Linked DNA regions of Neurospora crassa OR74A. The protein of the gene in region 3 purifies or fractionates together with the protein of the main gene of each other region. This does not show direct contact. Links are inferred from orthologs where the notes say so. Each region holds a gene or a part of one and is shown on either strand. Other genes may lie near its edges.

What was found.
Region 1: the proteins of NCU03321 (region 3) and NCU03380 purify together in Saccharomyces cerevisiae (affinity purification with mass spectrometry; 7 studies listed by BioGRID, with this or other methods). This does not show direct contact. The link is inferred for Neurospora crassa OR74A from reciprocal best matches to the Saccharomyces cerevisiae genes ERB1 and SPB4.
Region 2: the proteins of NCU03321 (region 3) and NCU09004 purify together in Saccharomyces cerevisiae (affinity purification with mass spectrometry; 5 studies listed by BioGRID). This does not show direct contact. The link is inferred for Neurospora crassa OR74A from reciprocal best matches to the Saccharomyces cerevisiae genes ERB1 and TIF6.

The regions. Positions count from the first base shown.
Region 1 is NC_026502.1:903,952-907,551, reverse strand, and holds the start of NCU03380 (ATP-dependent rRNA helicase spb-4), read right to left. Parts: upstream 2,272-3,600; 5' UTR 2,195-2,271; coding exon 1,964-2,194; intron 1,900-1,963; coding exon 166-1,899; 3' UTR 1-165. UniProt on the Saccharomyces cerevisiae protein: ATP-binding RNA helicase involved in the biogenesis of 60S ribosomal subunits. Binds 90S pre-ribosomal particles and dissociates from pre-60S ribosomal particles after processing of 27SB pre-rRNA.
Region 2 is NC_026503.1:4,190,530-4,194,088, forward strand, and holds NCU09004 (eukaryotic translation initiation factor 6), read right to left. Parts: upstream 2,671-3,559; 5' UTR 2,271-2,670; coding exon 2,236-2,270; intron 2,029-2,235; coding exon 1,870-2,028; intron 1,746-1,869; coding exon 1,199-1,745; 3' UTR 712-1,198; downstream 1-711. UniProt on the Saccharomyces cerevisiae protein: Binds to the 60S ribosomal subunit and prevents its association with the 40S ribosomal subunit to form the 80S initiation complex in the cytoplasm. Is also involved in ribosome biogenesis.
Region 3 is NC_026501.1:5,301,124-5,304,949, forward strand, and holds the start of NCU03321 (eukaryotic ribosome biogenesis protein 1), read left to right. Parts: upstream 1-1,667; 5' UTR 1,668-1,731; coding exon 1,732-2,126; intron 2,127-2,196; coding exon 2,197-2,436; intron 2,437-2,509; coding exon 2,510-2,622; intron 2,623-2,682; coding exon 2,683-3,826. Other genes in the region: ada-4 (all development altered-4), read right to left, coding at 1-303, 415-481.

The DNA.
Region 1 (3,600 bases), on a different chromosome or scaffold from region 3:
ACTTTTCGAGTACACCCATTATCATGATTACCATGAGGACTCATGGATACAGCATGCCAAGAACCAACAAAATTCCAATTCATCAAAAGGGTATATACGCCTCATACGCCTTTACGTCTTAGAAAATGAACCATTACCATCAACTCCCATTACCCAAGAAGCTACTCAATCATCAAACCCACCAAACTCTTCATCACTATCGTCCACCTTCTTCACCGGAGCCTTCGGCTTGGGTGGGTTCGCCGCAAGCGCAGCTGCCCTCTCCTCCGCCGCCTTGGCCTCGTTCCGTTTCCTCACCTCCTCAATCATCTGCTCCAGCTTGAGATGCTCCTCCTTCTCTTTCTCCGTCATCTCGCTGAATTTCTTGGCCTCCCTCTTTCTCCTCTTCTTCTCGCGCCTCTGCAGTTTCGTCTCCTCCTGTTCCGCCTTGCCGCTCCACGCCTCGTTCTTCTTGCGCTTGTCGCCCGTATTCTCTTCCTGTGCCCGCTTTGCCTTCTCCTCCTTCCACTTGGCCAGCTCTTCCTGACGCTTTTTCTCGCGCACCTTGTCCTTGAAAGGAATTTCTTCCGTGTTGATGCCCAGACCCAGAGAGCGGTCGATCTTGGCTTCGCGGACTTCGGGCATCTTGGGCAGCTCGAGAAGGCCGTAGCCCTTGGCTAGGTCGAGCCAGTCGAGGTCGGCGATGCGGAAGATGGAAGAAGCTTGGTGTTCGATGTAGGAGCGCGTCCAGGAAACGAAAGCGAGCTGGGCCATCTGGAAGATCTCGCGGTCGGCGAGGGCTTGCGATCGGAAGGCGGCGGAGACGCGCTCGACTTCATCAGGGGTGACGGAAATGGCGGGCTTCTCCAGGGGCGTGATGGGAGTTTGACGGACTTCAAGAAGCTGTACGTAGCCTTCCTCGCGACCCGGCTGGAGCAGAACGACGGCGAGACCCCGACGACCGGCACGGCCGGCACGACCGCAGCGGTGAATGAAAACCTTGGTGTCCGTGGGCGGGTCGTGCTGGATAACGAGGTCGACTTGGGGGATATCAAGACCGCGGGCGGCAAGATCGGTGGTGAGGAGGACCATGGGCGAGGTGGTGTTGACGAAACGCTCATAGTTCTTTTCGCGGACTTTAGGTTCGAGTTTGCCGTGCAGGGAGGTGACGGAAAAACCGGCGGGCAGGACGGCGCCGAGAATGCGGCTGAAGTACTTGACGGCCATGCATGAAGAGAAGAAGATGATGGATCGCTGGGGCCTGGGCTCGAGCTTTTCGAGGAGCTGGACAATTGCTGGCATTTTCTGGCTGGCTGGGGTAACAAGGTAGCTCATCTGTAGAGACATTGGTGTTTTCCTCTCTTGAATTATGCCACCGTCCTTCAGACTCTTCACTCTGACGGTGATCTTGTGTGGGTACAATAGACCAACTGTAATCAGCCTTTCAACGGCGTCACTGAGCGAAGCACTGAAAAGACCAGTACGGCGCTGCTTCGGAAGATATCCGAGAATGCGGTTGAGCTCGTTCGCGAAACCCATATCGAGAAGGCGATCGGCCTCATCCATAATGAGAACCTCAAATGTAGACGCGGGAGCCTTGACGTATGCGCTCGACAAGAGTTCGGCAAGACGGCCGGGAGTGCCAATTAGGAGATTCGGGGAAAGACGAAGGAATGTACCGAGATCCTCAGCAGCCTTGGTGGTGCCTCCGACAAGTAGTTGGGGGACAACGACAGGCTGGGTTGCTGTTGGGCGCTTCTCGTCGCTTTTGGCGTGGGAAATGGCTTCAGCGGAGGGTTCGTGAAACTTGACGAGGGAAACGAGGACATTGTAAATCTGGGTTGCAAGTTCGCGGGTGGGCGAGATGATAATGCCTTGGACATGGTTTCGCTTGGCTGGTTCTTCGCCGCGCAGGAGTTTCTGTTGCAGAATCGGTTAGCATATGATCATCCTGAGCTGGTAGACAGCAAGAGATCCGGCTTACCTCAACTACCGGAATCAAAAAGGCAAGTGTCTTTCCACTGCCTGTTACGGCCTCGACGACAACATCTTTATTTCCACGGAAGAGCTCAAGGCATGACTTTTGAACGGGAGTCGGCTGGGTAAAGCCCATGGAGGAGAGGTAGTCAAGAATCCATTGGGCGAGAGGAGGCGTGAGAGCGTCCCAAGACCTTGGAGGCTTCCGGACCTTAGTCTGTGGTTGGGTAGGCGCCATGTTAATTATGTGGTTGGCGGAGTATCGGGGCGTTGTAATCGATCCCTGAAGCTCTGCGTATTGCCCGTGGTGATAGCAGTGCGATGCTGTTGAAACAAAAATTGGCCTGGCGACCATCCAAACAATCCTTATCTTATCTGCCTATCGATAAAGCTAGCGTGAGCGTAACCTCGCAAGTTGCATACAGTACACAGCAGCCTTCACTTCTTTCGAATCCAATTTGATCGGTCCAAACCTAAAGATCTTCCCATTAGATTTCAGAAATTCGTTGGACAACTCACGACTTATACTAATTATATCCCAGATGTGCGCTCAAGCCGTTTTGTATCGTGAATATCAATAGACAGCTTTCGGATCTTCACGATCGTCTGTTGTTACTAGTGCAATTATCAGATATTGGAATGTGGGTCTCATCGAAGAACCCACGCAGCCACGGCAACCTGACAAAGGCTTGATCTTATTTGCTTACATGGTATAGGTAGTGTAATGCTACAACTGAAGGTGTCAATATTCAGCTCGACTAAGCTCCAGTGGCTCCCAAAATTGAAGTCTACGTCGTCTTCATCCAACCTTGTTTGACGACTGGCCGTCTGCTCAAGTCCATGATAGGCAAACATGCTAAGAACGCTTGAACCACTTTTACATGATGAGGAGATTGTGTACAAAGAAATCCCCATCAACCGAGATCGACCAAGGTGATGAACGTCAACGGTTGAGCAGAGTACAAAGTCTCTTTTCAACAAGGCACGGCAATATACTATGGTATAGGTATATCGAGCAACGCCTGGCATGAACTGAAAATGGCGGCATTCACGCCCAACCGTCTTCCTTCAGTTCAGTCTCAACTTCCTGTTGTCACATGCAAGGTCGCGTCGCTGTGTGCTGTTGCTGCTCTTGAAAGGCCACCACCCACCAATGTCATCACGCCTTGCCGCAATTGGGGTAACGGACCAGGGCAGTGAGCTGGGGAGCCCGGTGCAACCACCTGAAGCGCAACGCAGGACACGCGCCGGCTGATTCCCACTCGCACTCATGGCCGGGCATCCGCAACAGCCGAAATTTCTGTTCTTCACAAACACCGAACCACTGTCATTCGTCTATGATCGTCATCACTGGATCCTAAACCAAGTCCAGCCCAGGGTAACGTGCCACCTCAGCCACCGAGTACGGGTACAGTTTCTTTTTTTTCCTGCTTTGCACATCTTTTTTTCCTCTTGCTGTCAAGATACCCTTCTTTTTCCTGGACCTGAACCCTCCATATCCTATCGATTCGGCAGAAGAGTCGAAAAGAACCGACACTTGCCAGTCAGAAGCATCATTACTCGTCTTGATGCCACCACGGGTTTCCCTAATTTGCTGAGATACTGTCTGTCTTACTTGACTAAGGAACCCGGTCCATCTTGGTT
Region 2 (3,559 bases), on a different chromosome or scaffold from region 3:
CACGTTCCTGGAAATTGACCAAAAACCCCCCAGATTGACGTTTCAAAAGAAACCAATATTCCCGAACGATATTTCCACTCATGACTAAGTCTAGTAGTTTAGTCCACGCATCTTTTGCCACAAGCTGCATGTCTCTCAACGGTCAGGGCATCGCGGAATAAAGCTGCGTGGTTTAAATTATTTCCACCCATCACATACCAAGCCGTTTCCAGAAGAAGAAGCAGGATTCTCGAGTGAGACATTATACGTAGCCGCCGTGGATTACCATGTCGTTGTGTGTGGACTTGGACTCGTGGTAGGTATTATACGCATTCTATAGCCCCCCATTCTATGCATATGGACATGTCAGGTCAACAAAGTGTTGACGAATGCTGGGTCCCACGAGTCCCTGGAACGGACAACCACATCATCGTGCATGATGAAACACTGCATCACCGCTGCTTGCTGGCAACCGCCGCGATCGCAACCAACCCTGGCACTCGAGGCAGCATCGGGTGTGGTACATGCCGTACTGTGTTTTTGCATGATGGTTTTTTTGTAAACATTGATGATGGGGAATTGTCTCAAGAGGCATCTCGCTTGGCGTCTGGATTTGCATTCGTAAAAGGAGGTGATGATCCCGTCATAGAGCATAGGGGACGAGCTTGGAGTTTCAGTTGGTCTTCTTCACTGGATGACAGGTGAACCAAGAACTACCAGTACAACCCTAACCCTTGGCAGAAAACCGTGCCTTGCCCCAAATCCCAAAGACATTGGTCCCGCGTTCTGGACTTATATGTCACATGTTAACTGAACCTCGAAGAGTATCTATACTTCGTGATTATTCTGAACGGCCATGGCCATGTCAACTGGAAGCTTTTTTTCATTCCAGATGGCATTTCCAAAACTCGAAGCAATCTCGCAATCCAGGCCGAGCCACAACCACGGTCATCTTCACACATATCCATATCCTCACGCAAAAACGCCAGTCATAGGAACCATTCATTGGAAGAAAAATCGCCTTGTTTGCTCACGCTTGAGCATGCATGTCAGAAACGACCCATTGTCGTTGGTATACCTGACAAGAATCCCGCCTCCTACACATCCATCTCTCGCCTCCGCTCCCTCCTGCCTCACACATTGCCTTCCTTTCTCCTTGCCTACCAAGCACAGATAACACCAACTCCAAAACAAGCCCACAAAAGAAAAACCATTGGATTTAGTAGAAAGACTCGACCATGGTATCCTTGAGGCTGGAGTTGATCTGGCCAGGCGCGGCACCCTCTCCTAACCTGAACACGCTCTCGATAACACTCAGCTCGGGCGCCGTAGTATCAAGACCAGTGACGGCCATCCAGTCGTTGACCACCATGCCACCGCCGATGACGTTGGAACCTCTGTTGACGGAGCCGGCCACCAGCGGTACCTGGAGCAGGGAGCTGAGCTCGTCCTGGTCCTGGATGGATGTCTTGGGGTGAACGAGGCCGCCCTGGTTGCTGAGCGCCATGTAGCTACCGACGAGCACGTTGTCGGCAATGGTCTGGCGGAACACCTCGACGCCGAGCACGTCGGCAATGATCTCTTCGGTCTCGCGCTCCAGATCCGGGTGGATCAGCGCCGTGTGGTCGTTGCACACAATCACGTTGCCCAGGGCCGACAGGCGCTCCTCGATACGTTGTATGCGCACGTCGTCGGGGAGACTGTTGCGCAGATGTTGCAGTTCCTGGTCGCTTGTGGTAGTGGGGACGAGGAGACCTTTGCGGTTACTGTAATTTTTTTTTTTACTCGTGGTTAGCTTACCAATGTCCCATAATCAGGTTCTCGGTTGCGCCCCCTCCGATACTTGGGACTAAAAGTTCAATCAAAAATGCAGAGGGAAGAAGCGCCTACCCAGCTGTCAAGCGACCGATGATTCTTGTGCCGGCAATGGTGGTTCTGCAGATAGGGATAACATCTTGGAGTTCGGCCTCGAAGACGCTGTAAAAGTTTTCGCTGGCACCGACGGCGACCAAAGCGTAAGAGTTTGTAAGTGTGGAAAAGACTCCAACCCTATTGAGAAAGCAGACAATGTTAGCGCGTCTGCTACTTGATATCCCGAAGAACTACCCTCCGCCCCCCATTCAGATTCAAGAGTCGCCTTGCTGTCGCGGTGTCGAAGCATGGTATTGATGTCGTCGTCGGTGGCAGGCGGGGCAGATCTTCGATTTTCGCATCGCGATTCCCCATCTCGGAACGTGGAGGCCAAGCAAAACTTACTCGTTGGAGTTCTCGAACTGGGCGCGGACAGCCATGGCTTCGGTTCTTCTTGTGTAGTGCTCCTAGTGGGCTTCCTTTACTTGGTGGGTGAAGTGGTATTCCGATAGAGACGGAGAGATTGAGTTTATGCGACTGAAGCAATGGAGATTGGAGGTATAGAATGCCGTTTTGCTGCTTCGCGAATGACGACTGGTGGGGTGGGCGATGGAAGGAAAATATAATCTGGATTCAGACTCCAGGCTATGTGTAAAGTGGGGCGCTATCAAATCTGGAATCTGGACTGAGGAAGAACCACACAGCTTTTGGAAGCGGGTACCAAGACCCTTACAGATGTATGTACCAGTACTTGCCTTCAACAACAAGACATGGACGCATACATGCGGCTTACCAACCCAACCTCTCTACTCAAACCCTTCCATTTTTGCCATCGAGAAGTATGAGTTTGTCGAAATTCTAGTGCACTTGCATCGATACAATTTCATTTTCAATCACCGGTGACTCAGACACTTTGGAGCAATCCTCGTAAGGCTACGCGAGCAGTGCCTAGCCACCCTCGGGATGGCAAAAGGCTTGCCACACAGCCCACTATGTTACAGCGACATGGAAGCTATCCTCTACGTCTACCCGACCCCATTACCGCCTCCTAAAGCTTGTTTGCCCAATCAGATTTGCAGTGGCTTTCCCATTTGGTAGTGTACACTACCGCCATTTTCATTATGATTCATCATTGTTGCGATATGCAAGGTACCCAAAGAGGCTCACTTGCGGGGCGTAGTAGAATAGACTGGGGCTTGTTTCAACAGTTCAACTTCTGCAAAATGTAATGAAGTTGCTGTTGCAGTGTACTGTGTAGAAGATCACAGGATCCTGGTGGTATAGACATAGATGCCAGAAGCCGACATACCGGACAATTCATTTTGGCTTATCTTTTTTTGTTGAACTCGTCCGCTCGGCTCATGATGAACCCTAACCCACGGATTCACAACCTCTCCTCGTCAGCCCATGTAGCGACAGGACAACAATGAGAACAACCAAAGTGTGGCTAAGGGAGCCCGGTTGTCATTTTGGGTTATGAGCTTAGCAGAGGGAACGTATGGCTGGGGGAACATCTGGTTCAGTTGACGAGAAAGCGCACTTTGCCATAATGCCGTGAGGTACCTCCATATAACCCGCTGATACCAATTCCCATGACCGTTGAAAGCCATCATCCAAGTATCATCGCCTTTAAACAAGATGCATTTATACCAAAACTCCAAACTCCCCTGCCCCCGGCTGACCGTCAAGCACTAGTCTCGTGAGACCAGTAGTCTATTTAAGACGACGC
Region 3 (3,826 bases):
AATTTGGGTCGAATATGTCACTGAAATTTATGTCTGTATTGGTGACGTCGAGAAAGCACATATCCAGGTCCAGGTTGAGGGTCCCATCAAAGGGCATGGAAACAGGATAGGTCAAGGCCGCCGTCTCGCTGGGGGGAACATCATCAGTCTTTGCCTCCTTTCGCGATGCCTCGGCCACGTCGACGTAAGGACGTTTCCTTGGCCGACCCATGGGTTTCTGGGCCGAGTAGTTACAGTGAACGCCTTCGCGCTTACACCGCGCACAGCCATCTTGTTCCTTTGTGCAAGCAAGTTTCCGTGTCCCTGCATTTGTTAATTTAGATACATTAGTGCGGTTGGGCAGTCATGGTTGCTGACTAGAGGGTAGAGGTAGATGAATATATGGATCGAAACGGGGAGCGGGACGAAACATACGGCACTCGTCACAGGCACGGCGTTTCACCGGCTCTTTCTCCTTAGTGACTTCGCTGTTTGAGATCATGGCTGTTTTCCGCAACCGGCCTTTCCTTTATTTTGCTTTTTTTTTCTCCCCTTCTTTTCCGCGGGCGTAGATGTGTGGTGGATAAAAAGGGTTGAGTGGTAAGGTAAACGTCTAAGGCTCTCCGCAAGCCCCGCTTAGAAGACACAGAAATCGCCCCGGTGGTACTCCAAGACACTATCTATGTAGACGCTAGTGTGGTGTACACAGTAGATGGGCAAACAGCATGGATATGTACGTTGTAACAAGGGACCTAGGATGATAGGATCGACTCGTTTTCAGAGGAGGGCAAAGAAAGCAGATTTCAGACAAGATGCTCCAGGCCCGCAATGTTAACGAGCCAACGCAAGCAATCAAAGATCACCTGGTCGCGCCAGACCTGATGCCATATTAATAAGCCGCAATTGACACAGATAATGCAGAGACTGACTTTTGTTGCCGCGTTGCCTCAAATGGCACTGGTAGTGTATCAGTCAAACACCCAGGCCTTTGGACATATATGTGGCTCACTGGCCAAAGGCATGAATGATGTCCTTTTGCTAGTTATGGGATGACTATAGCGTGGGTTTTATGGCAGTAGTGTAGTGTGAAGGTGTCGAGTAACCCTAGCCCATCAAGGTTCCCTAGCAGGCGTCGTGCTACACTACATATTGTCAACTGCCATGCTTGGAAAGCGCAAAAAGACGGCGATGGTGACAAAAACCGTAGTGTAAGAGGCAATGGGGTAAAATTCGAACAAAAGTCTGTAATTACAAGCGATCCATGGAGACTCAATCTGATCACGCCGGGTATTTGATTGATGCTGGTTTGCCAGTTTTGACTGCCAATACCCACAGAACGGGCAGGACGAACTACAGAAGTGGAATCGTGCGTGGTTGAAGCCAGGTGTAGGGGTGCAGAGGGATGCTGCATCGAGGTTGGAGTTCGGTATTCATCTCATCCATGATATACAAGTAACAAATAAGGCTAAAAATTTGAAGTCGGTATCAGAGGGACGGAGACACGGAGTGCATGCTCCTGGCTTCATTTGTCTTTTGACACGCTAAACCGATAGGGTAATATGTTATGGTTCTTTAGCTGCCAGAAATGCCAAGGGCGGTGAGACCAACTCGTCCCCGCCATGAGCTGTAGAACCGGCAGAAAAAAAAGTCCCAGGCCAATTCGTATGCTAGGAATTTTCGACGCCTATCGCTGCGACGCTATCTGGGTGTTTTACCAGCAGAAAACACGCCAAAAATCAACACACATTCACAATGGGGCCAAAAGCCACCGAGAAGAAGCGAAAGGTCCAGGACGCCGAGCCTGAGTCCGACGACGAGATTGCACCCGATTTTGACGGCGCCCTGTCGCAGAGCGAAGACGAGTTCGATTCTGACTTCGACGACAATGAGCACGAACAGGACGGCGAGCAGGAAAGCGGAAGTGAGGCCAGCGACGACGAAGATGAGGAGGGCTCCCTACTAAGCGACGACATTCCCTCCGATGCTGAGGGCGACAAGGCAATGGGCAAACTTGTTCTCGAGGACGAAGAAGAGGAACTCGAGATTGAGATACCCGGAGTCGACCCCAAGCGGCCGGAGAAGGATGATGGAGACAAGAACTATCGGATCGAAAAGGACGCGAACGGCAACGAGCGCTACGTCTACGAGTATGTTGTTGTTCTGCAAATGGATCAAATATCGTTCCATGCCAGCATAGTTAACTCGAGAATGCAACAGTGAGATCGACCCCGTCTACGATTCGGACGATTCCGATGCCCAAGAAGCGCCAAACACCATCGGCAACATCCCCATGAGCTTCTACGACAGCTATCCCCATATCGGCTATGATATCAACGGCAAGAAGATTATGCGCCCGGCCACTGGCGACGCTCTTGATGCTCTCCTCGACAGCATCGAAGTGCCCAAGGGCTGGACTGGCCTTACGGATATTCACACCGGCAACCCTCTCAACCTCAAGTATGCACCCAACCCATCCTCCTTTGTCTTGCTCGGTTTCTTCGGGTCACGCTTACTGACTGCCATACCGTAGTGATGATGAATTGGAGCTTGTTCGCCGTGTCCAGATGGGTATGATTCCCAACGAGCTGGAAAACCCCTACCCTGAAACCGTGGAATACTTTACTGGTATTGAGGAGAAAATGCGTAAGTCAAAATCTATCTACACTTATCGTTGTTGAAATGGTGCAACTAACAAGTCAATAGCCCTGAGCGCTGCCCCTGAGCCCAAGCGTCGCTTCCTCCCCTCCAAGAACGAGGCCAAGAAGATTATGAAGCTTGTTCGCGCCATTAGGGAAGGCAGGATCCTGCCCTACAAGCCCCCTGAGGAGCGCGAGAAGGAGGAGGAAGAGGAGGAGCAGTACTTTGATATCTGGCAGGATGAGGTGCCACAAGAAGTCAACCCCTTGCACATCCCGGCACCCAAGCTGCCTCCTCCTGGTTTCGACATGAGTTACAACCCGCCCGCAGAATACCTACCGACCAAGGAGGAGAGAGAGGAGTGGGAGAAGCTCGACCCCGAGGAGCGCGAGAAGGAGTATCTCCCTCAGAAATACGACTCTTTGCGGAAAGTTCCCGGTTATGGCGAGATCGTCAAGGAGAGATTCGAGAGGTGCATGGACCTTTACCTTGCTCCTCGTGTGCGGAAGAACAGGCTCAACATCGATCCCAACTCGCTCCTGCCCAAGCTTCCTTCGCCTTCTGAGCTCAAGCCTTTCCCTACAGTTGCCCAAACAGTTTTCCGCGGCCATGACGGCCGTGTAAGAAGCGTTGCCATCGACCCTACTGGTGTTGCTGTCGCTAGCGGTGGCGACGACGGTACGGTACGTGTGTGGGAGCTGTTGACGGGTCGCCAAGTCTGGTCCGTCAAGCTCAGCAGTGAGGAGGCTGTCAACACCGTTAGGTGGAGGCCCGCGAAGGACTCTTTCATTCTCTCCGCTGCTGTGGGTGAGGATGTCTACCTCATGGTTCCTACACACGCCAGCGTTACTCCTGCTTTGGACCAGGCTAGCAGAGATATCCTGTCGGCTGGCTTCGGTTATGCTACAAACGGTCAGCAACACGGCGCTGCTCCCGGCAAGGAGCCTCCTGCCAAGTGGGCCCGCCCCGGTGCTAAGCTCGAGGATGAGGGTGTCTTGATCAGGATCACAGTCAGGTCGACCGTGAAGGTCATCAACTGGCACAGGAAAGGAGACCATTTTGCGACAGTATCGCCTTCCGGACAGAGGAGCTCCGTAGCCATCCATACGCTCTCCAAGCACCTCACCCAGATTCCCTTCCGCAAGCTTTCTGGCTTGGCTCAGACAGCGTCTTTCCATCCCCTCCGTCCTCTCTTCTTCGTCGCCACTCA